Linked DNA regions of Sus scrofa. The protein of the gene in region 2 interacts with the protein of the main gene of each other region in a pairwise test. Links are inferred from orthologs where the notes say so. Each region holds a gene or a part of one and is shown on either strand. Other genes may lie near its edges.

What was found.
Region 1: the proteins of PRKACA (region 2) and PRKAR2A interact in a protein complementation assay, tested with the Homo sapiens proteins (2 studies listed by BioGRID). The link is inferred for Sus scrofa from reciprocal best matches to the Homo sapiens genes PRKACA and PRKAR2A.
Region 3: the proteins of PRKACA (region 2) and PRKAR2B interact in binary tests that used the Homo sapiens proteins (3 or more experiments, as listed by UniProt). The link is inferred for Sus scrofa from reciprocal best matches to the Homo sapiens genes PRKACA and PRKAR2B.

What each region holds. Positions count from the first base shown.
Region 1 is NC_010455.5:31,510,608-31,521,198, forward strand, and holds the start of PRKAR2A (cAMP-dependent protein kinase type II-alpha regulatory subunit), read right to left. Parts: upstream 6,399-10,591; 5' UTR 6,398-6,398; coding exon 6,145-6,397; intron 1-6,144. UniProt on the Homo sapiens protein: Regulatory subunit of the cAMP-dependent protein kinases involved in cAMP signaling in cells. Type II regulatory chains mediate membrane association by binding to anchoring proteins, including the MAP2 kinase.
Region 2 is NC_010444.4:65,078,769-65,088,848, forward strand, and holds part of PRKACA (cAMP-dependent protein kinase catalytic subunit alpha), read left to right. Parts: intron 1-6; exon of another isoform or gene 7-21; coding exon of another isoform or gene 22-43; intron 44-5,161; coding exon 5,162-5,223; intron 5,224-5,678; coding exon 5,679-5,807; intron 5,808-7,733; coding exon 7,734-7,832; intron 7,833-9,011; coding exon 9,012-9,094; intron 9,095-10,080.
Region 3 is NC_010451.4:106,948,270-106,957,837, forward strand, and holds the end of PRKAR2B (cAMP-dependent protein kinase type II-beta regulatory subunit), read left to right. Parts: intron 1-1,150; coding exon 1,151-1,225; intron 1,226-3,794; coding exon 3,795-3,860; intron 3,861-3,996; coding exon 3,997-4,135; intron 4,136-7,292; coding exon 7,293-7,426; 3' UTR 7,427-9,250; downstream 9,251-9,568. UniProt on the Homo sapiens protein: Regulatory subunit of the cAMP-dependent protein kinases involved in cAMP signaling in cells. Type II regulatory chains mediate membrane association by binding to anchoring proteins, including the MAP2 kinase.

The DNA.
Region 1 (10,591 bases), on a different chromosome or scaffold from region 2:
GCTGTGGCACAGTGGGTTAAGAATCTAACTACAGGAGTTCCCGTCCTGGCTCAGTGGTTAACGAATCCGACTAGGAACCATGAGGTTGCGGATTCGATCCCTGGTCTTGCTCAGTGGGTTAAGGATCCGGCATTGCTGTGGCTCTGGTGTAGGCCAGCAGCTGCAGCTCCGATTCGACCCCTAGCCTGGGAACCTCCATATGCCTTGGGTGTGGCCCTAGAAAAGGCAAAAAGACAAAAAAAAAAAAAAAAAAAGACAAACCAATTTAAAAAATAGACAAAGGACTCCAATAGACATTTCTCCAAAGAAGATACACAAATGACCAACAAACACATGGTAAATGCTCAAACATCATTAGGGAACTGCAAAGCAAAACAACAGTGAGGTACTACTTCCTACCCATTAGTTTGGCTATAATAAAAAGAGATAGTAAAGTGTTGGATGTTCCCTTGTGGTGCAGCAGGTTAATGATCAGATGTTGCCATAGCTGTGGCACAGGTCACAACTTTGATGGGGGTTTGATACCTTGCGTGGGAACTTCCACATGCCTTGGGCACAGCCAAAAAAAATTTTTTTTAAAAAAAAGCTGAAAAAACAAGGATAGGGAGTAATTAGTTAGAATGTAAAATTGTGCAGCCACTTCTGGAAAACAGTCTGGCAGTTCCTCAAAAGGTTAAACATAAGAGTTACTGTGTGGTATAACAATTCTACCTCTGGGTATATTTTAAGGAGAAATGAAAACCCATGGCCACACAAAAACTTGTTTACAGCAGCATTATTCCCAAGAGTCAAAAAGTGGAAACAACCTAAACTTCCATCAAGTGATGAGTGGATAAACAAAATGTGGTAGATGCAAACAATGGAACAGAATGCAGCAATGAAAAGGAATAAGGAGGAGTTCCCATCGTGGTGCAGTGGTTAACAAATCCGACTAGGAACCATGAGGTTGTGGGTTCGATCCCTGGCCTTGCTCAGTGGGTTAAGGATCTGGCTTGGCTGTGAGCTGTGGTGTAGGTCACAGACTCGGCTCAGATCCTGCGTTGCTGTGGCTCTGGCGTAGGCCGGCGGCTACAGCTCCGATTCAACCCCTAGCCTGGGAACCTCCATATGCCGTAGGAGCGGCCCTAGAAAAGACAAAAAGCCAAAAAAAAGAAAGAAAGAAAAAAGAAAAGGAATAAGGAATTTCCACTGTGGTGCAACAGGATCAACAGTGTCTCTGCAGTGGCAGGGATGTGGGTTCAACCCCCAGCCCAGCGCACTGGATTAAGGATCTGTCATTCTGTAGCTGTGGCATAGGTCACAACTCTGGCTTGGATTCAGTCCTTGGCCCAGGAACTCCATATGCTGCCAAGCAGCTAAAAAAAAAAAGGGAATGAAGGGAGTTGTGGTGCAGTGGGTTAAGGATCAGCATTGTCACTGCAGTAGCTCAGGGTGCTGCTGTGCTGTGGGTTCAACCCCTGGCCTGGGAACTGTGGCCAAAAAGAAAAAAAAAAAAAAAAAGGAATGAAGCACTAATATATGCTACAACATTGATGAACTTTGAAAATATTATGGTAAGTTAAAGAAGCAAAAGACCACTTATTTTATAATTCCATTTATATTAAATGGCCAGGATAGGCAAATCCATAGAGATAGAAAGTAAATCAGTTAGTTGCCTAGAACTGAGGGGAATGAGAGTGTCAGCAGGCAATGGCTAAAGTGTGGGGGCCTTTTTGGGGTGATGAAAATGTTTTAAATTTATTGTGATGATGGTTTTATATATCTGTAAATAAATATACTAAAACTAGTGAATTATATACTTAAATGGGTAAATTATATGGTTACATGGAGTATGTCTCCATAAAGCTGTTACCCAAAAAAATGCTGTGAGACCCACAAGTATAAATGTTTTGTGGTCATTACAGAAGTGAATCAAGTTTAGATGCCTATTTATTGCTCTTATAAGGATGCAGTTAGACAAGTGTATTAATAAGTCTGAACTCTTCAGGCTTTCCTAAGAACTAAATAAACACTATAATACTTCATACTTGGTATGCTGTTTTTTTGGGGGGGTTTCATCTTTTGTCTTTTTAGGGCCGCACTCTCGGCATGTAGAGGTTCCCAGGCTAGGGGTTGAATCGGAGCTACCGCTGCCTACCTACACCAGAGCCACAGCAACACAGGATCCAAGCCGTGTCTGTGACCTACACCACAGCTCACAGCAACACCGGATCCTTAACCCACTGAATGAGGCCAGGGATCAAACCTGGAACCTCATGGTTTCCAGTCAGATTTGTTTCTGCTGTGCCACAACGGGAACTCTCTTGGTATGCTGCTTGATATCAAAACTGTAATTAACAAACTGTTAAAAACTAGCTAAGTTTTTTGAGTATTTATAATAGCATACTGTTTGATAAACTGAACTGGGGGTTAGACATTCAGGATCTTACAAAACAAAGTCTCTTTGATATATACAGTTCTAACACTACATATCCTATTTCTTATTTTAGACACTGTGGATTTATTATCTTAATGTTTGTAATCACTGGATATGCAATGCATTTCTTTTCCTGTCTTTTTAAAATTTGTGGTAAAATACACAACATAAAATTTACCCATTCTAACCATGTAAGTGTACAATTCATGGCATTAAGTACATTCATAATCTACATTGCACAATGTTGTATAACTATCAACTCTATCCAATTTCAGAACTTTTTCATCATCCCAAATAGAAACTCTGTTCCCATTAAACAGTAACTCCCCCATATCCACTTTCCCAGTCCCTGGTAACCTCTATTCTGCCTTCAGTCTCTATAAGTTTGCCTATTCTAGGTACCTCAACTAAAAGAATCATACAACATTTGTCCCTTTGTGTCTAGCATATTGCACTAGCATAATATTGTCAGGGCTCATCCATGTTGTGTCAGAATTTCATTACTTTTTAAGGATGAATAGTGCTCCGTTATATGTATATACCACATTTTGTATACACCTCTACACCATATTTATCCACTCATCTGTTCAATGGAATACTTGAGATGTTTCTGCCTTTTGTGAATATGCTACAATGAATACTGGCATATAAGTATCTGTTTGATTCCCTGCCTTCAATTCTTTTTTTTTTTTTTTTTTTTTTTTTTTGCTTTTTAGGGCCATACCTGCAGCACATGGAGGTTCTCAGGCCAGGGGTCCAATCAGAACTACAGCTGCCAGCCACAGCCACAGCCACAGCAACATCAGATCTGAGCCGCATCTTCAGCCCACACCACAGCTCATGGCAAGGATCCTTAGCTCACTAAGCAAAGCCAGGGATCGAACCTGAAACCTCATGGTTCTTAGTCAGATTCGTTTCCTCTGCACCACGACGGGAACTCCTGCTTTCAATTCTTCTGGGTATATACATAGCCATGGAACTGCTCAATCACATGGTAGGTAATTCTATGTTTAACTTTTTGAGGAACTGCCAAACAGTTTTTCACAGCAGCCAAACCATTTTACATTCCCACCAGCAATGAGCAAGGGTTCCAACTTCTCTATATCCTTAACAACACTTGCTATTTTCTAGTTGTGTTTTTTTTTTTCATAATAGCCATCCTCATGGGTGTGAACTAGTATTCCACTGTGTGCAGTGTATTTTTAGTCTATTATCTGTAAATAGAAGTTCACTCTGTGTTGATTTCTATAATTATATTTAGTACAGCAACTTAAGAGATATAAACAAAAGAATATTTATATACCAATAAAATAAAGCACAGTTACAAAGATTTAAGCCAACTCAATTTTGAAAAAGATTAATTAAAGATGACACAGAATGAAGATATAACACAAAACTTGTAAACTCTGTTTTACTCATCCGGGACTAACAGAATATTTGTTCTGTGTAAATAAAAATTGTCACAAAGCAGATTATAGCTTTGTGTTGTATAGTTATGACAGTGAAACAAATGTAGGATTCACTCCTGAAACAAAGCTTTTAAAAACATATTTATCCCAGAAATTCCCTTGTGGTGTATCAGGTTAAGGATCCAGTTTTGCCACACATTTATGGTGCAAGTCACAACTGTGGCACGGGTTCAATCCCTGGCCTGGGAACCTCCACATGCCACAAATGTAGCCAAAAAGCAAAAACAAATAAAAAACCAATTTATCCCTAGGAAGTTGTTGTCACTGTACCTATTTTAAAGATAAGTGAATTTAAAATCAAACAGGTTCCGCAGCTTTGTCTTGGGCCACCAAACACTTCTGTGGCAGAGATCTGGTGGCAGAGTTGGAAAATAATTTCTGATTTCCAGGTTCAAGGTGAAAAACCCATAATTTAATGTGTATTAAGTCAGGGGAAACCCAGAAAAGCAATTTCCACACTTGGTATGAATAAACTTAGGAAAGCTGTCCAGAAACTGAAGCTTACAACCTCTAACAGCAATGACCAATAATTAACTCCCTGCCAGTCTGACTTGAATATGGATTCAATTCAGAACTAGGTTGTTGGGGTTTTTTTTCTCCAATATGATCTAGCAACACTAAGTCTCTAACTCTGTCCTGCAAATGTTTTCACTTTTTTGTTAAATTCTGGCTGTCCAAGACTCACACACATGGAGAACAGACTTCTGACTGTCTAGGGGAGGGAGAAGGGAGTGGAATGGGCTGGGAGTGTGGGGTTAATAGATGCCAGCTATTACATTTAGAATGGGTAGACAATAAAGTCCTATGTATAGCACAGAGAACTATATCCAGTCTAGGACAGACCATGGTGGAAAATAATATTAAAAGAATGTGTGTGTGTGTGTGTATATATATACATATATATGTGTGTATATATGTGTGTGTGTGTGTGTGTGTGTATGACTGAGTCACTTTGCTGTGCAGCAGAAATTGACACATTGTAAATCAACTATAATTAATTTTTTTTTTTTTTGTCTTTTTGCCTTTTCTAGGGCCGCTCCTGTGGCATGTGGAGGTTCCCAGGCTAGGGGTCTAATCGGAGCTGTAGCCACTGGCCTACACCAGAGCCACAGCAACGTGGGATCCAAGTCGAGTCTGCAAGCTACACCACAGCTCAGGGCAACACCAGATCCTTAACCCACTGAGCAAGGCCAGGGATCAAACCTGCAACCTCATGGTTCCTAGTCAGATTTGTCCACTGCGCCACAACGGGAACTCCTATAATTTAATTTTTTAAAATGAGTTCAAAAAATCTGGCTGTTCAAAAGTAGGGTAATTCTATTGTTAAGTTGACAAAGCCTATGTTGAAGCAACCAAGGAAAATGGAATTGCTTTCTGACAACCCTGCTTAAATATATATAGAAAGTGTTACTGTTCTCTTTCCTGCAACCCGTATGCTAAAAAAAGTTATTGTTTACCCTCATCAAATTTATTTGATCCAATTATCTTAGCCAAATTTATATATATATATAAATTATTATTATATTATTATGTGTGTGTGTGTATATATATATATATATAGATAGATAGATATTATATATATAGGGTTTTTTTTCTTTCCAGGATCCGTACTTTAAGAAATGCATACTCAAGGACCAAGGGTGAAATGCTGGAATTTGCTTTAAAATACTTCAGCAAAGAGGAAAAAAAAAATACAGCTGAAACATCTGTGACAGATCTTTCAACTGTGTAATGGGGGTGATGGCATATAGGGGGTTCATTTCACATTTTCTCTCTATTTTTGTATATGCTCGAAGTTTTTCACAATAACTTCACAAAATGAATTCTTTCCAGACAAAGTTACCTTCCTGGCTATGAAATATGAGTCAGTGGATGTGAATGTTCTTGTCTTCGGAACGAAAGTGGGCGAAGGGTCTCCAGCAGAGGCCAAGCAGCCGTGGGCTCCACGCCCCTCCGGCCCCGCGCCAGCATGCGGGCCGAAAGCGCGCACGTTTCTCTTGAGCTGAATCTGACAACTCCCACTCCGTGCGCTCTACGGCTCGCAGGACTGCCGAGCTCAATTTGGAAGTGGCACACGCGGGGATCAAGCCCGCCGTTCGGGAACCCAGACAAACTCCGCTCGAGAGCTTCAAGGTCCCGGGCCCAGGGTTGCAGGCCTAGCCCCCGAAGCCCCCTCTGGAACTCCTAGAGACCCCTACCCGACCCGCCACTGCTCCTTCGACCCCCCCACCGCGACCCCTGGCCCAGCCTGCCTCCTACCGTCCAAGTCCTCGTCGTCCTCCGACTCGCTGTCCGCGATCGCGTCGGTGACAAGGCCAGAGCTGGGCTCTAGATCCTGGGAGCCGGAAGGAGGGGCGGCGGGTGGGGTGGAGGCTCGGGAGCGGGCCTCGCGCAGGCGGGTGAAGTAGTCCACCGCGAAGTCGACCAGGTCGGGTGGCTGCCGCCGCAGCACCTCCACGGTGTAGCCCTGCAGCAGCTCCGTGAGCCCAGGCGGGATCTGGATGTGGCTCATGCCGGCGGCGGCCGCGAGGACAGGCAGGACCCGGCCGCCGGCAGCCACTGTCTGGGCGCTCCCTCACGCCGGCCTCCCGCCCGGCACCCGCGAGGTCTCCTCACGCGCGACCTGGGCTGGGCCCCCCTCGCGCCAGGTCGCCCTTTGGCCGGGTGTGCGTTTCCGGGTCACGCCACCCTACGCTACTCCGGCCGGCCTGGTACCGCCGCCGCTGTCACTGGGCAGCCGCCGCCGTAGCCGCGGGTACCGACAGGCGGGCAAGCGGGACGGGCGGGGCAGGAGCCCGGGTTGTGACGCACGCTGCCGCGGGCGTGCGCGCTCCCGCCAGCGCTCTGGCCCTCAGTGCGCGTGCGCCAATAGCCCACCGGGCCTGCCGGGCAGTCTCTCCGCAAGGCGCAGCAATTAATGGTTTTCCCGTTAAGCGGGTCCATTGGCGCCGCTTATTTTTAATTTCTACTTTCAACACACCCTAGGATCCTCCCGTTTGCTAGCCCTTACTAAGTGCCAGGGACATAACCGAGAGTCAACGTAAAAATGCACATTACCACCTCAGAGTGGTTCCAGCTATAGTGCAGAGCAAGAGGGCCCACATTAGGGGATGGCATTTAAGCTGGCTCAGAGGCCTGGGCAGGATCTGGCCATAGGAGCATCTGAAGAAAAGCCATGTGGCCTAGAGGGCAGTAAGTGCAAAGACCTGGTAAAGTCAGAACCACCCAGACCTCAGGGTGGAATAGTGGCATGACCATAGGCCCCTCAGAAGTCTTGGCAGGAAGACTGTGAGATGTCAAAGGGAGAAGACCTTGTAGATAGGAGGAGTTTCAGTGATATAGTAATTTTGGAGCCAAAGGCAGATAAATAAGCCTGGAAGAGCTCAGAAGGTCAAACATGTTCCTTGAGAAAAGGGAATAAGACCCAGAGCAGGAGAGAAGGATCGAGATGGCAGAGGAGTTAAGATGTCTCCCTCACCTTCTCCCACAAAAGAAAGTTGTTTTTTGACAACTCCCACTCCATGTGCTCTACGGCTTGCAGGACCGCAGAGCTCAACTTGGAAGTGGCACACGCATCAAAAAAACAAAACTACACATAGAACAATTCGCACAGAACATCTATTGAACACTGGCAGAAGAACTTAAGCCTCCAAAAAAGGGCAAGAAACCCTCCACAAAACTGGGTAGAACAACAACAACAACAAAAATCAGAGAGAGCAAGAGAGAAAGAGAAAGTCCCAGAGCAGGAATGACCACTGTGCCTTTTTCTCCTCTTGAGCAATACAATCAGGATTCCCAGGACTAGGTCTGGATATCTCTTCTATCCCTATATTCCACCCTGGGCCAGCAGTACTTTAATGGTGTTGAGCAGACCACAAGGCACAGATATCCTTTGCCCCTGGGGAGAGGGCATAGGTGAAACTGGAGAAGCCATGCTATTTCCCAAGTTGCCCCTTCATGCACACCAAATTGGAGGGGAACAGGAAAAGGTAGAAACTTTTCTGGGATGTCCATACAGCATAAGTGCTGACCAAAGACTCAGAGGGCATAGGATAGAATCCTCCCTCTCTTTGCTGGGCCCAGGCAGAAAGTGACTAGATGTAGCCCTGGGAATCTGAAAGGCATTTGGGATGGTTACGCTCCACCTGGTAATTACCCAGCATTAATTAAAATCCTCACTAGGATCTCTCATATTAGCTTGGCACACACCCAGGAGCTCAGTGCTGCTGGGAACTGAGCTTCAAGAAGCAGGAACATCCAGCCCCCACTGGTATAGATGCTACCCAGCTCTAGGCCAGGCAGGCCTGTGATTCCAAACAGTGGTATCTCCCTGGATAAGTTTCTTGACTGCTGGAAAGCGTCCTGGACTGTCAAATTTGTGAAAGAAGGGGAGTTCCCGTCATGGCGCAGTGGTTAACGAATCCGACTAGGAACCATGAGATTGCGGGTTCGGTCCCTGCCGTTGCTCAGTGGGTTAAGGATCCGGCGTTGCCGTGAGCTGTGGTGTAGGTTGCAGACGTGGCTCGGATCCCGAGTTGCTGTGGCTCTGGCGTAGGTTGGCGGCTACAGCTCCGATTGGACCCCTAGCCTGGGAATCTCCATATGCCGCGGGAGCGGCCCAAGAAATAGCAACAACAACAACAACAAAAATTAAAAAAAAAAAAAGAATACTTAAAAAAAAAATTTGTGAAGGAAGGGATAGTATAAGCTTGTTCCCTACTGGGTCCTTACTGCACACTCTTGGGGCAGATTTACTGAATTAATGATGAAAAAGTAAATGAATGATAAATTTCTGTACAGAAAGAAGAGCCAATGAAACTGCTCTCTTGACCTCAGTCTCAGAACTAAGATCCTTTGCATCATAGCTGTGCTTCTGGAGTTCTGTCGTGGCACAGCAGAAATGAATCCTAGGAACCATGAGGTCATGGGTTCGATCCCTGGCCTTGCTGGGTGGGTTAAGGATCCAGCGTTGCCGTGAGCTGTGGTGTAGGCCCAGAAGCAGCTCGGATCTGGCGTTGCTGTGGCTCTGGCATAGGCCAGCAGCTGTAGCTCCGATTAGACCCCTGACCTGGGAGCCTCCATATGCCATAGGTGTGGCCCTGAAAAAGACAAAAAAAAAAAAAAAAAAAAGCTGTGCTTCTGATCTCAGAACACAAAAACTTCAGAGTTCTTGTGGTGCAGTGGAAACAAATCTGACTAGTAACCATGAGGTTTCGGGTTTGATTCCTGGCTTCACTCAGTAGGTTAAGGATCTGGCATTGCTGTGAGCTGTGGTGTAGGTGGCAGACACAGCTCGGATCCTGAGTTGCTGTGGTTGTGGCATAGGCTGGCAGCTGTGGTTCCAATTCAACCCCTAGCCTGGGAGCTTCCATATGCCACAGGTGCGGCCCTAAAAAGCAAAAAAATACACACACACATATATTAATACTTCATTAAGGACGGGCAATGAGGGGCGGAGGAGCAGTGTTCAACTCTTCTCTCCTTGTGAACAGACCGACCCTTTTTCAAGCTTTCCAGGAGTCAGACCATTCCCAGGAATCCTAAATGGGACTTCCATTGCACTGCCACACCTGGGGATCTGACTCACTTCAAGCAATCATACCACTAACCCTTTGGAAAGGCAAATTCACAACTCCAGTCATAGCCCATTTGTCAGGTCTTTTATTTTTTAAAGAGGGACAGGCACCTCTACAGTTAGGACTCTCACTTCAATTTCAAAATAGAGTCAGAAGAGGCTACTCCAGGACTGACAACAGAGCTGGCTGTGGGCAGGTTCTCCCAGTCACTCCAAGGAAACTCTGTCAGCTTCTGCCAGAAGGAGACTGGTCCCTGGCTTGTCTTCAGATGCCCCAATGCATAGCCATTCTATCCATCGAGCAAACATGGCATTCAAAGGCATCCTTGAACCTGGAGGAAATGGGGGCCACAGAAAGTAGGAACTTCATAGCTGCTCCTCACCTGTCTCCACAGACCAGCCTCAGTGAGGATGGACAGCCAGCCTCTAGGCCTAACCTGACTCCCCTCTCCTTGCATCTGGTCCCCAGAGCGGAGATCTGCCCTTTCTGGGAAAACCTCCAATAATAGCAAGGTGAATCCCAAAGGCCTTCATGAATATCCAGTTGACCTGGCAAAAGAATAGGGCCCTGGAGCAAGAGAGAATTCAAGGGGCCTGAGCCTCAAATCCCGAATGCTTACCCTTCTAGGAAGACCTTCATTCAAGCCTGACCTTCATTCAAGCCTGTCCAGCTGCACCACTGGGGGGTTACCATGGCAACTGAACCCACATGCAGCCAGTAACTGGGAAACAGTTGCCAGCACCAAATGATGGTGGGTGGAAAAGGTCAAAAGCAGAGATCCTAGAAAGCAAAAGAAATACATAGACCATGGTAGAGAAAAGGAGATCCTAGAGTCCTGATGGGTGCTCAACTCCAACCCAGTCCTACTCACTATCCAACGAGTCTTCATCTTGCACAGACTGCCACACCACCAATCTCAGGCAGACATGGACACAATGGGGCCAGTTCTCAAAAGTGTTTACAACTATGTATGCTGAGTAACACAGGTGGGGCATATGTTCAGCCCAACAGTGGTGAGTCTGGTGAAAATGAACATGGGTAGGGTACCAACTGCTATTTCCAATGCAACAGTGGTTTTCCTGTACTGTTGACAGATTTATTATTTAAAAAGTCCCCCCCCCCCTTTCTAG
Region 2 (10,080 bases):
CCCTGTGAGGAAGACTGAGTGATGGCTTCCAACCCCAAGGATGGTGAGGCTGAGCCCTGTTGCTATAGCAACTTCTCAAGCACTCTCTGACCCTCAAGTCAGGGAAGGATAGCAGTAGGATTTAGGGAACAGATAGAGAGGAAGTCTGTGGACCCTTGGCTGGCCCTGGAAATCCTCCTTTAGTAACAACTCTGGGCTGGGGTGCTTGGGGGAGAGTAGGGGGGATGGGTGGTTCAGTTCAGACAAGAGGGGATGATCTACTGGAGTGGGGGTCCAGTTTACACCCAGGCAGTAGGGTGGTCCAGCTCAGTGTCATGGTTCAGCTCAGAATGGGGTTTGGTCCGCTCAGTGATAAGAGTCTGGTTCGTAATGGACAATGGTCCAGTACAGAATGGGGGTCCATCGGACTGGAGGTTGGCCCAGTCCAGTGTTGGGGTCCAGCTGAGATTAGGGCACGGTCCAGCCCAGAGCTGCACCAGAATTCACCCTGGGGTAAATTCCTCCCCCGTCAACCAGGTTTTGGGGAGCAGAGGGTCCTGAGATTGTTATCTGAGGGGTCTGAGGCTGGGCTCCTGGCTCTAGCTGGGGCCCTGGCTTTTTGGGAGACGTTCTCTCTGAGAGCCCAAATCAAATCCGGGCTGGGGTGGAGGTTGGCACCCCTTCTGTGGGAGACATGGGCAGTCCAAAGCCAGCAGAAGGCTGGGTTTCCCTTCTCTGCTACTTCCTGTTGTCAGCAGTGGCCACGGGTGCTGGGCACTCTTGGGAGAAGCTGCCACCGACCCTCCACTTCTTTGGGGATCTGGAAAGAAGGAGGAAGATGGTCAAGGCTGCCTCCCCCTCCCCCACCCTTGGGTTTAACGTTTCGTTTCCGGTTTGGACTTTCATGGCTGAGAGCAAAGCCAAGCACAGGGCAAGGTTTGACAGAGGCCAAGGACATCCCAGGATGCCATTCCCCTCTCCGCCCCTGCACCAGAGCAAGACAAAGCCAGAATTTCTCCCTGGAAGTGGCAGAATTTGGGGGCTCCAGGTTCAAAGAGCCCTTGAGGGAGGAGATAGGGTGGCTCTCATCGCCCCCCTTCCCACCCCTGCCTCTCTCTCCAGCTGCTCTTTCAGCTAATTAACGGAGCTCTGGGGCCTCTTTGGCCCCCAGGGAGGCCCTGGCTGCTTCCCTGGACCTGAGCTTTAACTCCTTCCCCTCTGCCCAGTGGGCACTGCCCTGGGCACATTGGGTGCCATCCTCTGGGTAGACCAGCACCCCCTGGGAACAGCAGGGCCTGGCAGCCTGGAAACAGCGAAGTCCCTGGAACAGGAAGTCAGCTGTAGCACCCCGCCCCCAGAGCAGGCAGGCCAGCCAGGAGGGACACCCTCAGGAGGATCTTCCCACCGCCTCCTGCCAAGGAGGGCCTTTACAAACCTTGGCCAGCCGGGAGCAGGTACCTTTAAATGCTTCCCTGGCAACCAGCTCCTCCTCCCCTGTCCCCCGAGGCTCTCCTGAGGAAGCCAGCTCAGAGGCTCTGCGTATTCCTGGTTTCCCTGCAAAGGGAAGGTTCCAGGGAGAGCTCAGGGCAGTCCTGGGATGGATCTGGGGTCAGGCAGAAGCTGCAGTTGGGAGGACTCGGAGACCACCTTCCAGCTGTGGCTGCAGCTGCTTCTCTGGGGCCACCTGATTGTCCGTTTCCTGAGCTACCTGCGCCATACCCTCTGGGCACCTAAGCCACAGCCAGCACCCTGAGCCTCCCTGGCCAGGAGCAGATGGGCCCCAGATCACCCCATCCCATTCCACCACCCCCCTCCCACTGTACCCTCTGCTGGGAGGGGCAGGAAGCAGAGGTGAGTATGGGGGCTCTGGGCTGGGGTTCCCCCATCATTATCCCTCTTTATCTGCCCACTTTCCGGGTACTGCCACACCCTGTGCCCCATCCCCAGATCTGGAAAGCTGATGGCACCAGAGAGAACACAGCCTGGGCCTTTCCATACTTTGAAAGGCCAGACCAGGGGTGTTTAGGGTCAAGGCACCCTGTAGAGCCTCTTAGTGGGGTACCAGCAACAGAGGCACAGACACACCAGGTCTGGGGTGGGGGGTGCGGAGTGAAGCAGGATGCGGCTGTACTCAGGGACAGCTGGAAGCAGAAGGGGAAGCAGGACCAGGCTTCCTCCTGGATTCCTACCAAACCCACCCCTCTCTGCCTCCGAGGGCAGGTGACAGTAGGGTCCCAAGAGGGACGTTCACTCCCACCTTCATCCAGAATTCAACGTGGATGTTTGGCGTTTTCCAAGGAAGTTGTTGTGTGTCCAAAAAAATGGTGCCTTGTGGCGTTAAAGATCCAGCATTGCCACTGCAGAGGCTCAGGTTGCAGCTGTGGTGCAGGTTCAGTCCTGGGCCCAGGAACTTCCACATGCCACAAGTATGGCCAAAAAAAAAAAAAAGGATTCTACTGGCAAAAGCACTGGATGTGGTGGTGTAGTCCCCAAGCTCAGAGAGGTCTTAAGACAGTTGGTGGCCCACTCAGGCACCAGCCTAGGACTCTTGGCCATTTCTTGACTCTGCCCAGTCATTCTTTGTAGGGCTTTCCTGACCAACAGTCTCTCCTCCATCTGCCACCCTTGGAGCCTCAGGGAAGGTTCTTCTCCTTCAATGCTGAGGGGGAGCGTTGGGGACAGTGGAGAGGTGGCTACCCACAAGGCTGGGTGGGATTCCTGGCACTGCATATAGGTGACAGGCAAGGTCAAAGTACAAGTGTGCAGGATTCCTCAGGATGGTAACTTCCCCAGAACATCAGGGTTGAGGACAGCTCCGTCCATGGGCCACCCTGGTAACCTGGGACCAGTCAGAAGCCAAGCAGTTAATCTCGTGGGCAGAGGGGTCCAGGAAGTGATCTGAGACCAGTCTTCTCATCTATCCAATGAGAGTAATAGCTCTGAGCCATCAGGGTAGGAGTGAAGCATAGAAGCACTAAGCACAGAGATGGCACACAGGGAGGGTCCCTGAGTAACAGCATGCCTGACCCCAGGTGGTGGTTACAAGGGCAAGTCCCTAACCTGAGAATCCTTCAGACTGCACATTTAAGATGTGAGCCCTCAATGTTTGGCCTGGATTTTATGCCTCCATTCAAAAAATACTTAAGGAGTTCCTTTTGTGGCGCAGTGGAAACGAATCCAACTAGGAACCATGAGGTTGCGGGTTCGATCCCTGGCCTCACTCAGTGGGTTAAGGATCTGGCGTTGCTGTGAGCTGTGATTTAGGTCACAGACATGGCTCAGATCCTGTGTAGTTGCAGCTGTGGTATAGGCTGGCAGCTGTAGCTCTGATTTGACCCCTAGCCTAGGAACCTCCATATGCCAAGGGTGCAGCCCTAAAAAGCAAAAAAAAAAAAAAACTTAAAAGAGGAGTCCCCACCGTGGCTCAGTGGTTAACGAACCCAACTAGCATCCATGAGGATGCAGGTTCGATCCCTGGCCTCACTCATTGGTTCAAGGATCCAGCATTTCCGTGAGCTGTGGTGTAGGTCGCAGACGTGGCTCAGATCCCGAGTTGCTGTGGCTCTGGCATAGGCCAGCGGCTACAGCTCCAATTGGACCCCTAGCCTGGGAATCTCCATATGCTGCCACCCTAAAAAGACAAAAAAAGAAATACTTAAAATTAATAGCTAAGTTTTTGAAAATGCTCTTGAAGTATAGTTCATTTACAACGTGTTAATTTCTGCTGTACAGCAGTGGTTCAATTAAACGTATACATACTTTTTCATATTCTTTTGCATTATGGTTTATCACAGGATATTGAATATAGTTCCCTGTGCTCTACACTAGCACCTTGTTGTTTATCCATCCTATATATAATTGTTCGCATCTGGGAGTTCCTATTGTGGCTCAACAGGTTAAGAACCAGACTAGTATCCATGAGGATGCCAGTTTGATCCCTGGCCCCACTCAGTGGGTTAACATTTGGTGTTACCACAAGCTTCGGTGCAGGTTGCAGATGCGTCTCAGATCTGGCATTGCTGTAGCCATGGTGTAGGCCCGCAGCTGCGGCTCCAATTCAATCCCTAGCCTGGAACTTCCATACTTCTGTGGGTACAGACCTAAAAAGGAAAAAAAAAAAAAAAAAAAGATAGCTTGCATCTGAATGGCTGACATTTATATGGCACTAACTCTGTGCTGGCCACCATCCGAACCCCCTTTGCCAAAATTAACTCATTCAGTCCTCATAACCACCCTGCCAGGTCATTAGTGTTATCATTCCCATTTTACAGAGGAAAACTGAGGCCCAGAAGTGAGGTCATTTGCCTAAGGCCACACAGCTCATCGGGGACTAGGCCAGGATCTGAACTTGATCTTATCCCAGAGTCCTGGCCTTAACTACTTTGTCAGGCCACCTCTGCATTGGCCGGAATGCCTCTTTCAGGTCTCAGTTTACTAGGGTGATAAATGGGGAGAATGGCTAAAAGGAAAGTTGGCAAGTGAACCAAATGAGTCAGTGGACACAAAGCAGCAAGCCCAGGGTCCGCCAAGATGTCTTCAATGCTAGCTGAATGGTGATGTTTGCCTTGGGGTGCAGAGGGGCCTGTAGGGGGTGGGCATCAGGCGAGGCTTCCCTTGAACCAGCTCTGGAATGAGGGCCCCTCTGTTGGCAAAGGCGAGAATGGGGCCAGCTGGGGGCCAAGGCAACAGCTGAACCCCCCCCCAAGGGTGCCTGCTACCCGAGCCCCAGAGGCCTCCACCCCAGGCCTGGCCTCCTCAGAGAAGGGGCCAGAGGAGCAGCCAAATCCGAGGCTATAAATACCACGGCTGGCGTCGTCCCTGGCCGTGGAATGTCAGTCAGAACTGGGGCAAGTGGGGGTGGGCTGGCCTGGGCGCCGCTCTCTGTCCCCCTGAGAGTGACCCCTCGAGTCACCCTGTCTTCCGTTTTGGACAGAATTGAGGCTGGATCCCAGCTCTCTGTAGTATAGAGGACCCAGGCCCCAGCCCAGATCAGGGCCCCCGCCGCCCGCCCGCCCCAAGTTACCCTCAGTTTCAGCCAGGGCACCGGAAGGCACTGGAAGAAGGTCAAGCTCTGGGTTGAGACAATTGCACCCCACTTTCCACAAAGCAGCGCCTCCCCAGGACTAGCCCGGACCCACACTAACAAGATGGGGTCTCTCTCTCTCACCTTTCTTCCTTTCAGTGAAAGAGTTCTTAGCCAAAGCCAAAGAAGATTTTCTTAAAAAATGGGAAAATCCTGCTCAGGTAAGCCCCCTGGGAGGGCTGACATGATGGCCCCTTGATACCCAACTGCATCCCTGGCATGACTGGGATTTCTAGGGCCCTAAGGAGGGCTCCAGACCTGCCCTCATTCACTCCTGAGATGCCCACGGAGGCTCCTGGGCAAAGGCACCTGATCACCCACTGCCAGGCTCCCCCACCCACCACCCTCTTCCAACTGGCGGCCCCTGCCCCCCAGGCAGCTGCCAGCAGCTCCTGGGCCCCAGGCCAGGGCCGGATCTGGCCCCTGCCACCAGCCTTAAGGAATGCGCCCTCTGCCATCTTGTTTTTCCGCCCCCTGTCCTCACCCTCCTGACTCCACCTGGTCCCCAGGGCCCCCTCTGCTGGTGGCACAAGGGATGCCCCAAATTTCAGGCTGCAGGGTAGGTTGAGGGTGGGAGGGGTTGTTCTCTGACCCCCCCAGACCCCTCCGCCCACAGAATACAGCCCATTTGGATCAATTTGAACGAATCAAGACCCTCGGCACGGGCTCCTTCGGGCGGGTGATGCTGGTGAAGCACAAGGAGACTGGGAACCACTTTGCCATGAAGATCCTCGACAAACAGAAGGTGAGCCCAGCCCTGCCACAAGGCCCTGGTCCGACCCACTAGGGCTTTGCCTGGGCTGTTCCCACCACCTGCAGCGCTCTTCCCACCCATCTGCTCACCAGCTATTTCCTGAACCTCCAAAATGTGCCAAATCCAAGGGCAGGAAAGGGTACCACGCTCCTTCAGGAAGCTTCCCCTCCTGGGTAGCCACTGATGCAAATTTAGGCATTAGACCTGGGGTCAGACACCTCGCCTGTATGGAGGAAGTCAGGAGGAAGTGATGTTTACACAGACCTTCTTTCTGTAAATATTTTTGAGACCCTGCTTTTTGCCAGGCACTGCTCTAGAGCAGCACCATCCAGGAGAAATATCACACAAGCCACATACGGTTTTAGATTTTCTAGGAGTTTCCTGGTGGCTCAGCGGGTTAAGAATCTGGCATTGTCGCTGTTGTGGCTTGAGTTGCTATGGTGGTGCAGATTCGATCCCTGGCCTGGGAACTTCTGCACACCACCAGCACAGCCAAAAATAAATAAAGTAAATAAGTTTTCTAGAATCCTAATTAAAATTTTTTTTAAAAAAACAGGTAGAATTCATTTTAACCACGTGTTGTAATTAAGTCAGTATGTCTACAATATTATCATTTCAGCTAATGTAACTAGTGTAGAAATATCATTCATGAGATGTCTTACATTTTTCTTCCACACTAAGTCTTATAAATCCAGTGTGTATTTTACACTTATGTCTCCATTCAGATGTTAATTTTCACTGGAAAGACAAGAAAAAGTGGAGAAGTTGAAAAAGCAGACTCACACAGGGAGTTCCCATCGTGGCTCAGTCGTTAACAAATCCAACTAGGAACCATGAGGTTGCGGGTTCGATCCCTGGCCTTGCTCAGTGGGTTAAGGATCCAGCATTGCCGTGAGCTGTGGTGTAGGTCGCAGACGCGGCTCAGATCCCGTGTTGCTGTGGCTCTGGCATAGACTGGGCTGCTGCAGCTCCGATTCGACCCCTAGCCTGGGAACCTCCATCTGCCGTGGGAACGGCCCAAGAAATGGCAAAAAAGACAAAAAAAAAAAAACCAAAAAACAGACTTACACAGCCCAAATTGTTCCAAACAGGCTTGAAAGTTGTCTGGTGCCTGCACTGAGTATCAGTTTTTAAATTTTAGACACTTCAAATTTTAAACTCAGTTCCACGTTTCAGCCAGCCACATTTCAGCAGACGAGTGGCTAGTGTGGACTCTACTGGACAGTGCAAGTGTAGACCCAAAGGCTGCAGCTGTGAGCAAAGCAGAAGAAAGCCCCAGTGCAGTGGTTTAGCGCTGACCAAAGGGCTAGGCTGCCTGCTTGTGACAGGCGGGCCTGACACTGACTAGCTACACTTGACCTTGGGCAAGTCACTTACTCTCTCTGCATCCAAACTAGCATGCTCTCGGGGCGTACCCCTCCAGGCTCCTGTCACAGCGTGTGAGGCACCTCCTGGGGACAGCTGAGGCCAAGGAGGAACTACCCCAGGTTTTAGGTGGATGTGGTGGGGGGTGGGGGGGTGCTCTAGATGCAGGAAAGGTATTTCTAATCCCTCCACCCCTTGAGTGTTCCTCCTGCCTGTCCAGTTTCAGCTCAGCTGCCCTTTCCTCCAGGAAGCCTTCTCTGATGCCCCCCCTTCCCACAGACTTCACTGGGCACCTTACCTGGGCATCCACAGGCCCTGAGCTTCCCCCACCACAGCTCTGACCCCTGTGACCTGGTGACTGAATGTGTTCTTGCTCTGAACTGCATGCCATGTGGGACAGGCTCCCAGCCCAGGGCTTGACAGGCCCCAGGCACTCAAATGATTCTGGATGAAGGCAGGGGCCCAGCCCTGGCACCCCTGTTTTGGGGCAGCAGGGAAGACGAAGACCCTCTCACACCCCTTCCTCTCCACCCTCCCCTCCTCCCACCACAGGTGGTGAAGCTGAAACAGATTGAGCACACCCTGAATGAAAAGCGCATCCTGCAAGCAGTCAACTTCCCGTTCCTTGTCAAACTCGAGTTCTCCTTCAAGGTGAGGTCCCAGCGGCCGCCACCCAGGGCCACTGTGGGTGGTGCAGCCTCTCGGTTCCCAGAACTGAGGCTGGGCCAGCAACAACCAGTAGCTGCCCAAGAAGGCAGGCCCACTGATGGGGGAGAAGGAGACCCAGGGTTAGGGGTCAAGTCAGCTTAGGGCTCTGACAGACCCAAGTTCAACCAGGCCTGACAACTTCTAGCTTGATAACCTTGGGCAAGTCACCCAACCTCAGTAACATTCCTCAAACTCATCACTCCATTTACAGGAAGAACCTGACACACGGCCATAAAATGTGCCACTCAGCCTAGGTTCAAATCCATGTACTTCCTGGCCGTGTGACCCTGGCGAGGAATGCCCCTGAGCCTTTGTTTCTTCATCTGTAAAATGGGGATCATAGCAGTTTCTACATGGTGGGGTTGCCATGACAGTTCCAAGCACATCATCAAATCGCCCAAGCCCTGTGTGAGCCATCTGGGGTGCTGACGTAAGTGGTGACTGCAAGAGCTGGAAAGGTCACTCAGCTTAGGTCACTCACCCCAGCAGTCATGAAGACCCCACACTTAGTTTAAGGCACTGCTGCCACTGTCTTGAGATTCATAATTAATTTTTTAACAAGGGGCTTCATACTTTTATTGTGGAGAGGGGGTGCCCAGAAATTCTGTAGTCCATCCTGGTCCCATTTGACAGATGATAAAACTGTGGCCCCAAGAGCCTCGCCGAAGATAGTCACAGACATGAACCACTACAGGGTTCTCTCTGCAGCCCGGGCATGCTGGCCAGGTCCCTTATGTACCTCTAGCCAGCCCTTATTACTTTTAGCCCCAATAAGCAGGATACTGGCAATCCCTTCTTTCTTCCAGGCAGTAGGAAATGAGACAGGAGTTCTCTGGTGGCTCAGCAGGTTAAGGATCCAGTGTCATCACTGCTGGGGCACGGGTTTGGTTCCTGGCCTGGGAACTTCTGCATGCCCGTAGACACAGCCAAAAAAAAGGGGGCGGGGAGGAAATGAGACAGGTAATCAGTGAGCACAGCGCCCAGCACTTAGTACGTGCTTCTCGTGGGAGCCAAGATTGTTGTCATTTTATTTCTGAACATCCGCCAGATCAGGGTGGCAGGCCTTCAGATGGGGCCCATGGCTTGGGGAATGGGGCTCTGATCAGCTGCTGCTTCCCGCAGGACAACTCAAATTTATACATGGTCATGGAATATGTGCCTGGTGGGGAGATGTTCTCACACCTGCGGAGGATCGGGAGGTTCAGGTGAGCCAGCCACCCCCTGCCACACTGGGCCTGGGGCTGTCCATGGGCGTCATCTATGGAAGTGGCCTCTCCAGGTTCCTATGGGTTCTTGCCTCTCCCTGAGCTGAGGAATCTCTGATGTCTCAACTACCACGAAATAAAACAAGCATAGTGACTTAGGTGTCTCCATGTGAGTGGGCGAGTTTATATTGTTTTTAAATTTATCCTGTCGTTTCATTTTATTTCTTTTTTGTTTGTTTGTTTGTTTGTTTTTTAGGTCCACACCTGAAGCATATGGAAATTCCCAGGCTAGGGGTCCAATTGGAGCCATAGCCACCACCCACAACACCACCAGATCCGAGCCACGTCTGCGACCTACGCCACAGGTCACAACAACACTGGATCCTTAACCCACTGAGTGAGGCCAGGGATCGAACCTGCATCCTCACAGATACTACTCAGATTTGTTACTAGTCAGATTCGTTACTGCTGAGCCACAGCGGGAACTCCTCATTGTATTTCTTTATACAGATACTCACTTTACACACAAGAAAATGCACAGGTTTTCAATGATCTGTCCCGTGAGTTTTGACAGCTACATGCACTTATGTAACCACTACCCCAAGAAATTCCCTCAAATACTTTTCTTGGCAAATCGCTGCCCCAACAAAGGCAAATGTCCTTTCTGGCTGTAAGCACCGTAAATGTGTTTGGTCCAAGTCTGGACTCAATATAAATGGAATCACACAGTTCACATTCTTCTGTCCTTTCTTCTCATGCCTTCCATAATCACTTTGAGATCCAGCCACACCATTGGGTATATTCATCGTTTGTCCTGGAGGTGGTGTTGGGTAGGATTCCATTGTATGAAGCTTTCGAAATCTGGGATTCCATTTCTCTGTGGATGGACATTTGGGCTGTTTCCATTTTAGAGCTATATGTGAATAAGGCTGCTCTGCTGATGCATTTTGGGTTTTTGTGTGTGTGTGGTTTTGTTTTTGTTTTTG
Region 3 (9,568 bases), on a different chromosome or scaffold from region 2:
CTTTCTCCTAAAATTGGCATTCTAGGGTCTCTTTTTCTTTTGGCAGGCTCACCCTAACCCTCTTCACATGGTGAACTTGTCAAATCCCCTGGCTTATAAGTCTATTATGTTGATGCCTCTTAGAATTGTTGTTACTGGGCAAGGCCCAGCCCTTGAACGCCAGGCTCATTTATCTAACTGCATATTTAACATTTTCTCTGGGGTGTCTGATAGAAAGCTCACACCTAATCCGGCCCAAACCTCCTCCCACCCCACTTCCCATCTTAGAGACAGCACTGCCATCCTTCCAGCATCTAAGCCACAGTCCTTCGGACTGACGAACTCATGGGCGGATGTGACTCTCTGTTGGCTTAAAGTAGTAGAAATTCAGGCCACATTTCAGAATGCATTTTGGGCAGCTGATCTTTTCCAGCAACAGTTCTCTCTAAATAAAAATAGCTCAGGGGTTGGAAATGCACATGCCTTAGAGTTAACATATTGAAGAAAACCAAGCCAGGATGGGACTTTGGTAAACTGGAAAACATGTGCTCCATCTAAAGAAACAGCTGCTAGTTAACAGAGTTTATTTTTGCAATTTGGAGATATGGGCTGACTGTTGCTGAGTGTCCCGATTTTTCAAGAGAAGCTGGAAATTCAAGTTTTTATTGAAAATTTATTTTAAAATGTGGGCAGTTAATACAGCAAACACACACACACAGACCCACACATTGCTCAGTTTATTTGGCCTATAGGCTACCATTTTTAAACCTTGAAACAGTTAAGGAAGATCTGTGGGCAGTGGATTGAGGATCCATCAGTGTCACAGCGGTGGCTTGGGTCTCTGCTGTGGTGTGGGTTCCATCCCTGGTGTGTGGGAACTAACATGCTATGGGTGTGGCCAGAAAGGAACGAAAAAACCTGAAATAGTTAAGATTACCCGATCAGGCTGTTTCATATAGTCTTGTCCCTCAGTATCTGCAGGACTGTTTCCAGGACCTTGGTGGATGCTCAGTCCCTTACAGTTGGCTGTCCCTATCTCTGGTTCTGCACCCATGGATGGGAGTGGGGGTGGGGTGACTGTTTATTGAAAAAATCTGCATGTAAGTGGATATGCACAGTTTAACCCCATGTTGTTCAGGGGTCAGCTGTATAATCTTCTTTTCCTTTGTAGGTTTCTGAACGCCTGAAAGTGGTGGATGTAATAGGCACCAAAGTGTACAACGATGGAGAACAAATCATTGCTCAGGTATAATACTGTTTATGGAATTCAGTTGAGAGTTATTTTCCGAAAGGCTCTTAGACATTTTAAGGCTTGCTAAATGCTTCGTGTGTGTGTGTATAATTAGTATGTAGTGATTGATTAAATGAATATTACTTCTACCAAATGATTTGTTAAAAAATGGTTTAATTTACAGCCATTAAGCTATTTGAATATTTGTATTTTTGTAATTAACTCTTAATGAATATGTATTAAATCATCAAATGGATTTCTGCATCATTTTATATTTGTACCTGACATGAAAGCCACGTGTATATAAAGAATAAAAAGTCATTTATAAGAGGAAGAAAATGGTAATCGTTCCATGAGTTTTATTAATAAGGACTCAGAGGGTGCACTGGAAGATAGAGAGTTTTTGCACCATCCGTTCAGTCTCCTGGGGCTGCTCCCTGATAAAATTAACCAGGAAGGGAACTCGCTGCACCATATTTTGTACCGACTTCCAGGCACTAAATGGGACCAGCATCCTGTCCAACCCCTAATGCTTTTCTAAGATCCCAGTTGGAACCAGCAGCCATACATATGTACCTTGGTTAGAATAGAGCTGCCAAGAAACAGGATTTATGAGGACAGTTGAAGTTCACAGATAAAGCATACCAGTGGTAATACTTTTTGTAGTTACATTTTTGAAGCATTGAGGGAATGATTTAAACAGATTTTTAACCAGTTGTGTGATTTTTATATTGTGATATTATACTGGATTATAATCTTTATTTAAAATACTGTCTCTTGATGTATGTGAAACAAGACATAAGGTCTGTGAGGCTAAGAAAAGAATAATTACTGTAGAAGGCAGATAAGCCAGTAACTGAATGAGTGCCCCCTGCCCCTCCATACATAGGGATTAGCACCTTCAGGGATCTGGATGACACAGATCCAATTAGAGAACAAGGCCAAATTTCTGCGATAGAAATGGAAAAATTGTAAAGTAGACTTTCGAAATGATTTTTTCAAATAACTGAAATAACTACAGATTCACAGGAAGTTGAAAAAAGAGAAGTCCCACTCACCCTTCCCCCAGTATCTGCCAGTGCGTCTTTGTGTCACTAGTACAGCGTCAGACTAGAAAACTGACCTTGACACAGCCCCCAGAACTTAATTCGCTAGTTTCGCTTGCATTTCGAGCACATTTTGAAAACAAAATTTACTTGCAAATTAAAATGAAGCTCTTAGGAAAACCTGATACAGAAATGTAAGGGAGAGGTTATAGGTCCACTAAGAGTTTATTAAAGGTATCTTTATTTATTTATTTATTTTTTAAAAAAGGTATCTTTATTTGTTTTATTTTAATGATTTTTATTTTTTCCATTATAGCTGGTTTACATTGTTCTGTCAGTTTTCTACTGTACAGGTATCTTTAGGCATTAGTTGCCTTTTAAGCATTTATAAATAGACGTGTGGGCACTACACTATAATCTAGACTCAGCATTTATTTTTGCGATGTAATCTGATACCACATTTCTTTAACTGTATTAAAGAATTTTTGCTTTTGTTTTTTTGTTTTTTTTTTTTTACAGGGAAGGTTGAATTTATTCTTTAGTAAATGTGATACAGAGCATATAAAAACTTAAATATAATTCTAAATCTTATTTTAACATTCAAAGACTATATTTTTGTATTTCTTCCTGCACTGTACCGCTAATAGCTAAACATACTGAAATTGTTCTACAAGTGTTTATTTCTTGCTAATTAAAAGTGCATCAGTCCATTCATTTTCTCCTATGGGTTCTCACAGTTTTCAACTATTTTTTGATCTGTTCGAATTACTGAACTGTACTAAAGAATTTTGAAATGCCTGAGTTTCTCCAGAAATCACTTTGAAAGGCTCAGAAGAGTCTGTTTTCTTTCGTATTAATACAGTTTAATTCAGAAGGCATCACTGTAGGTCATGCCATTTGTTCAAAGCAAGAGAACAGGGCTCTGTTGTCAGACATGGCAACTCCTTCTTTTAGAAGTTTTTCTGGGGCCTTGGGGTGGATTGTGGGTAAACTGGCTTCTGCAGTTTGGTCCCCTGTGCTGCAAACCCACATACTGCTTCCTAGGAAGTCTGCCTGCTTTCTCAACTCTTTGGCAGCAGCTGGTTTATCTGAGCTCGCCACGGCCGAGGCGTGTTAGATTAGGATGGCACAGGGGCACCTTTTAGCGCTTCTTGAGCAGCAGCGCAGGAGCCGCCCACGGAGGAGATGCCACCAGGGAAGGGGACTGCCGTTTCTGATGCCGTACGTGCCTTTTTGCAGGCTGCACTTTGGGCGAAATTTTTACCACAGGGTTATTTGCCATATTGTCTTGGCTAATTGTTAGCAGAACTGCTATGGTAGAGAGTATATCATTTCAAATCATTTTACGAATGAAATCGTTATGATATAATATTCTGTCGTAACGATTTAGAAGGGGTACACCTGTTCCCGTGGGTTTCACCTTTCAGGCAGATCATCTGTACTTTGGGGTCAGATTGATTTCAGGGGGATGATGGGCGGCAGGATTGCTGTCAACTAGATTTGCATTTTCACCCCCTGTTTTTGCTTTATTCTGATAGGGAGATTTGGCTGATTCTTTTTTCATTGTAGAATCTGGAGAAGTCAAAATTACCATGAAAAGGAAGGTAAGTGTCCATTACGTTCTAAGAAATCCACATACTATTAGCAAGAAAGAGGATATTCTTTCTGATGTTGAGACTCAGGTGAAGTTTTATTTTTCTTAAGCCAAGTAAACGTTAAGACTTTCAATTATCCCATCAGGGGAAGTCAGAAGTGGAGGAGAACGGTGCCGTGGAAATTGCTCGGTGTTCCCGGGGACAGTACTTCGGAGAACTTGCCCTGGTAACGAACAAACCCCGAGCGGCTTCCGCACACGCCATCGGAACCGTCAAATGTTTAGGTAGGATGCTCGGCCACCAGCCTGCTTCCCCTGGTTGAAATTGTTCTGTCTGCATTGTACATATGCACACTGCATGGATTCTTTTACTGGGTTCACGGGTTTTATGGTCCCTGTAAAATACAAGGCTAAGATTCATCCCATTAGAGAATCAGTTTGTGGAAGCCACTTTTCTTTAAAAATTTCCACAGCCTAGGGAGTTCCCCTCATGGCACAGTGGAAATGAATCCAACTAGTATCCATGAGGATGCAGATTCAATCCCTGGCCTTGCTCAGTGGGTCAGTAATCCCTCATTGCGGTGAGCTGTGGTGTAGGTCACCGATGCAATTCAGATTGCCTGTTGCTGTGTCTGTGCTGTAGGCCAGCAGCTGTAGCTCCAATTGGACCCCTAGCCTGGGAATCTCCATAGGCCTCCAGTGCCGCCGTAAAAAAAAGAAAGCAAAAAAAATTTTTTTCGCAGCCTATCTCGTGTTCTTTTATATAGGCATGAAATAACACCTTATTTTAGTATGTCATTGAGTACCAAATTTTATATCTAACCTTTCAAATAAATAACCTGCACTGTGTTCCTCAAAAAAGAAGCCTTGAGAGTTCCCATTGTGGCTCAGTGATTAATGAATCCGACTAGGAACCGTGAGGTTGCAGGTTTGATCCCTGGCCTTGCTCAGTGGGTTAAGGATCCTGCATTGTCGTGAGCTATGGTGTAGGTCGCAGACACAGCTTGGATCCCATGTTGCTGTGGCTCTGGCATAGGCCGGCGGCTGGCTACAGCTCCGATTCTACCCCTAGCCTGGGAACCTCCATACACCATGGGTGCGGCTCAAGAAATGGCAAAAAGACAAAAAAAAAAAAAAAAGCCTCAAACAGTATATTTATGAAGTATTGTAAGCTCTACAGGGAAAGTTGGAATTTCCCTAGCATACTTCTCGTCCTAGTACTACAGAACAAAGGTTCAAGTTTGTCAGAGCCAATAAAATCTTGGTTAGCTGTTTATTACATCCGTGTACCACATATTAGCTTGGCAGAAATGCCATCTTCAGCCAAAAGACATCTGTTTATAGCTGAGATTTTATATATGAGAAATAACTTATTTTAATACTGAAAAAAAAATGACAGTTCCCTTGTGGCGCATTAAGGATCCAGCGTTGTCACTGCAGCGGCTCAGGTCCTTACTGTGGTACAGGTTCCATCCCCGGCCTGGGAATGTCCACATGTCCTGGGCACGGCCAAAAATAATTTTTTTGAAATTAATAATGAAAAAGATAATTCAGAAGATATCAATCTAGATGATATTTTCTTTAAGAAAACTCATTCAAAAGTAATTAGCCACTCTGTGCTCTTTATTCACAGTCCCATAGAATAAATTGAGCTTTCAGTGTTCTTACGACTTGCAAGTATCCTCACAGTTTTCCTAGAAAAGTTGCTTTTTAAAACGTTTGAAGTATAATATTAATCAAGTGTTATACGTGGATGAAAAAAAGAAGACAGTTAGAAGCTGAGAGGTAGTTTCCCTGAGGAGAAGTATTAGACAGCAGGAATAAAGGGGATGTGAGTGAAGTCCCAGTAATTTTTTTCTATAATAAATTATTATAGTCACATTAAATTTGAGAAATACTGAAAAGATAGGAAAAACTGTCACCAATACCACCCCCACCCCTCAGTGGTTTCCACATTCCTGTTGTAACTCCTTCTCATCTTTTTTTATTTGTATGGGTTTTCTGTCCTAAGGAGTTTTGTAAACTGCTTTTTTCATTCATTATTGCTTACGCATTTTCTCCTATTTATTACATCAAATTGTAAGATTAGGTAAATATATGCAAATTTTGAATCACTCTCCACTGTTAAATATTTTGGGTGTTTTGGCTCTATTGGGGGGATGAGATAGTTTTTTGGCATTTGTTTGTTTGGCTGAGGCACGCAGCAGCTTGATAGGGGCTCTCGATTCCCAGACCTGGGATTGAACCTGGGCTACAGCAATGCAAGTGCTGAATCCTAACCACCAGATCACCAGGAAACTCCCAGGAGAGGGCTTTTTTGTGTGAGTGTATGCATAGACCCCTTTTCCATGAATAGGATTTTTCCTGAGAAATGGTTTTTGGAAGTGGGTTTTCTCTTACAGTTTTTGATACATATTGCCAGATCACTTTTATTTGTACTTATTTACATGCTACCAGCGGTGCAAGAATGTCCATTCACTCTGTTCTTGTAAACATTGCCTTTTCTCCTTCTGCAAATTTGAAAGGCAAAAGAAAAAGTATTTTAATTTGTATTTCTATGATAGTATGATCGTATTTTCATGTGTATATTATAAATTCAGTTTAAAAAATGCTTGAGCCAAGTGAGCTAAGCAACATAGAGCACATATCTATAGAACTGGATAAAATCATTATTTTGGCTATTTTGAATTGCCTAGACCATAGTGTAAAAAAGTAAAAATTATAAAAGATTAGTAACATTTGGTCTTCACAACATCGGATTGTAAACCCTGAAGAGGGAAAATAGGACAGAAAACACTCCCTTGCCACCTTGAAGGAGTTCATATTAATTACTAAGGTTAGTGACATCAAAACTATTTTATTTTTAAAATTCTGAGGCCTTGGAGTTCCCATTGTGGCGCAGTGGTTAACAAATCCGACTAGGAACCACGGGGTTGCGGGTTCGATCCCTGGCCTTGCTCAGTGGGTTAAGGATCCTGCATTGCCGTGAGCTGTGGTGTAGGTTGCAGACGCGGCTCGGATCCCGAGTTGCTGTGGCTCTGGCGTAGGCCGGTAGCAACAGCTCCGATTGGACCCCTAGCCTGGGAACCTCCATATGCCGCGAGAGCAGCCCTAGAAAAGCAAAAAGACAAAAATAAGTAAGTAAGTAAGTAGGTAAAAATAAAATTCTGAGGCCTTGCTGTAACAGTCCCTCCTTCATTCTTTTAACCTGGACCAGGAACCACCCACCAAGCTAGAATTGCACAACTTATTGCCAAAGGACACTGGCAGCTTCCTTTTTGAAGTGGAATGTTTTTGTCTTTATGCACACTCTTGTATTTAATATGTATCTAAAAATGCCATTGCATCATTGACATATGCAGAATAGGTACCATTAATGACTAAGAAATTCTGCAGATTTGCAAAGAACATTTTTTTTCTTTTTCTTCTCCCTTCTTCTTAGCCATGGATGTGCAAGCATTTGAAAGGCTTTTGGGACCTTGCATGGAAATTATGAAAAGGAACATCGCTACCTATGAAGAACAATTAGTTGCCCTATTTGGAACAAACATGGATATTGTTGAACCCACTGCATGAAGCAAAAGTATGGAGCAAAAAGACCTATAGTGACACAGTTACACAGTAGTGGTTAGTCCACTGAGAATGTGTTTGTGTAGATGCCAAGCATTTTCTGTGATTTCAGGTTTTTTCCTTTTTTTACATTGACAATGTATCGGTAAACAGAGTAGTGATTTAATAGTCAGTAGACTTTAACATCACTTTCTAAAAGAGTAGATCAAAAAAATATCAACATACTGATAAAATGACTTTCTACTACTCCACACAATTATGATTTGACTGAAAGGTTTATTCAATAATTGTAATATATTGAAAGTATCTGTGTTTAAGAATGCAATTAAAGGATGTTATCATAGGCAATGTGTGTTCATTTTGACTTACTTGGATTGATAGGTTATGACTACGCCCATGTAAGAGAGAACTTGGCAGTGAATCATGCTATACAGCATGGCATTACATTCTTTTTACAACTCACTGTATGTAGTAAGTACAATTTAATCATTTTTGTTTTAGAGTTTTCCTGGCTTGATAAGTTATACCCCGGCCTTGGCCTATTGGTGAAATGGTATAAAACATCATATGCAATTTTAAAACCTTTTATATTTTTGCAATAAAGTACATTTTGACTTCTTTGGCATAACGTCAGTAATCTACATATTCCAGTGGTTTTAAGGACAGGCAGTTTAGTCATGATAATAGCGAAGAGTCTTTTTAGATGAGAGGTCGTTATTTTCCTCATATACCTGCTTCCTTTTTTCATTTTGCCATTCTCTGTATTCGTTATCTTTAAAAATTTGAGTTTGCCATTTAATGTGACCAGTATTTTAAAATGCTCTTTAAATTTACTTATCTTCTAAAAGCCTAAGATCTTATTACATATGATGAGAAAAATGTCTCCTATAGCAAAAATATTTGGGGTCCTTATCAACATGCCTACATGATATTTCTGGGTTCTCCGCTAAGCGTACATAATACATTCCTTTGCAGACTCCCATGCAAACTCCCATGGGTTTCCAAGGTGGGAGAAATAAATGTTTGTAAGCAAAACAAAGATAAATGGAATAAAGATAAATGGAATTTCTCCCCATTCCGAATACACTATTAGGCCTTGCCATTTGCGCTAATGTAGACTCTCAGAAATGCAGAGTGAACCCAAATGCATAGGTTTTTGTTGACAATTGATATGTTTAATTATTCTGCTACATCAAATGAATGTAATGACATTCAGCCAAATCAGTATACTCTTATGTGATTTCTAGGCCTACATGACCCCAGTGTCGAATGAGATTATTTCTAATCCGTTGTTCACTTTTAAATGAGCAATTTCACTTTGGGAATCTTTTCAAAGAAATATCTACATGAGTAAAAATATTCTGTGGCTAGTGTGGTCTTATGAGAGAATGTTTATGGTCTTGCTTGTGTAATGAAGACGTGGTTAAAATATGTTAAAATGGATAATGTCTATATAAGAAGCATATAAAGTATACCTTCGGGCCACATTTTAGAACACTTCAACAATTTTCCAAACTTTCCCATTACCTGGAAGTAGGAAGAGAGCCTACTAGGTGAAGAGGACTTGTTTTCTATTTCAGGTTTTAAAAGCCATGTCTGCTAAACAAGAAAAAAACTCAAAGAACCCCATGTTCCTAGTTCATTATTCTGTATTCTTAACTTTATTCACTTTTTCAAGTTACCTATTTTGTTGCATAAGCTGATTGTTAATTACAAATGCCTGTTTAATAAAGAACTCTGACCAAGACTGTAAATGCCAGTTACATTATTTTCAGTATTGTTGGTTATATTTAAATTTTCCTTATAATAAAGCACACTTTTATAATAAAATTTTTAATGAGGTGGGGTTTTTTTTTGTTTTTTTTTTGTTTTGTTTTGGCTTACTTCCATAAAGCACACTATACATGTGAAAAGCATGACAGAGATATGGCATATGTGAAAGCTAGGCCCCGGGCATCATGCAGCAAGGAAGTATGGCTCTGTAGGACAGTAGGTTTTTGAAAATCTTAACTCTGGGCCATGTGTGATATAAATAGCTGTGGTATGTTGCAAATTAATTTGGCCATTCAGAATAACCAAATAAATCTGGTTAACTAGGGAATTTACGTGTTCAGTAATTAAAACACCTCAAGTTTGAGTTGTGGACTT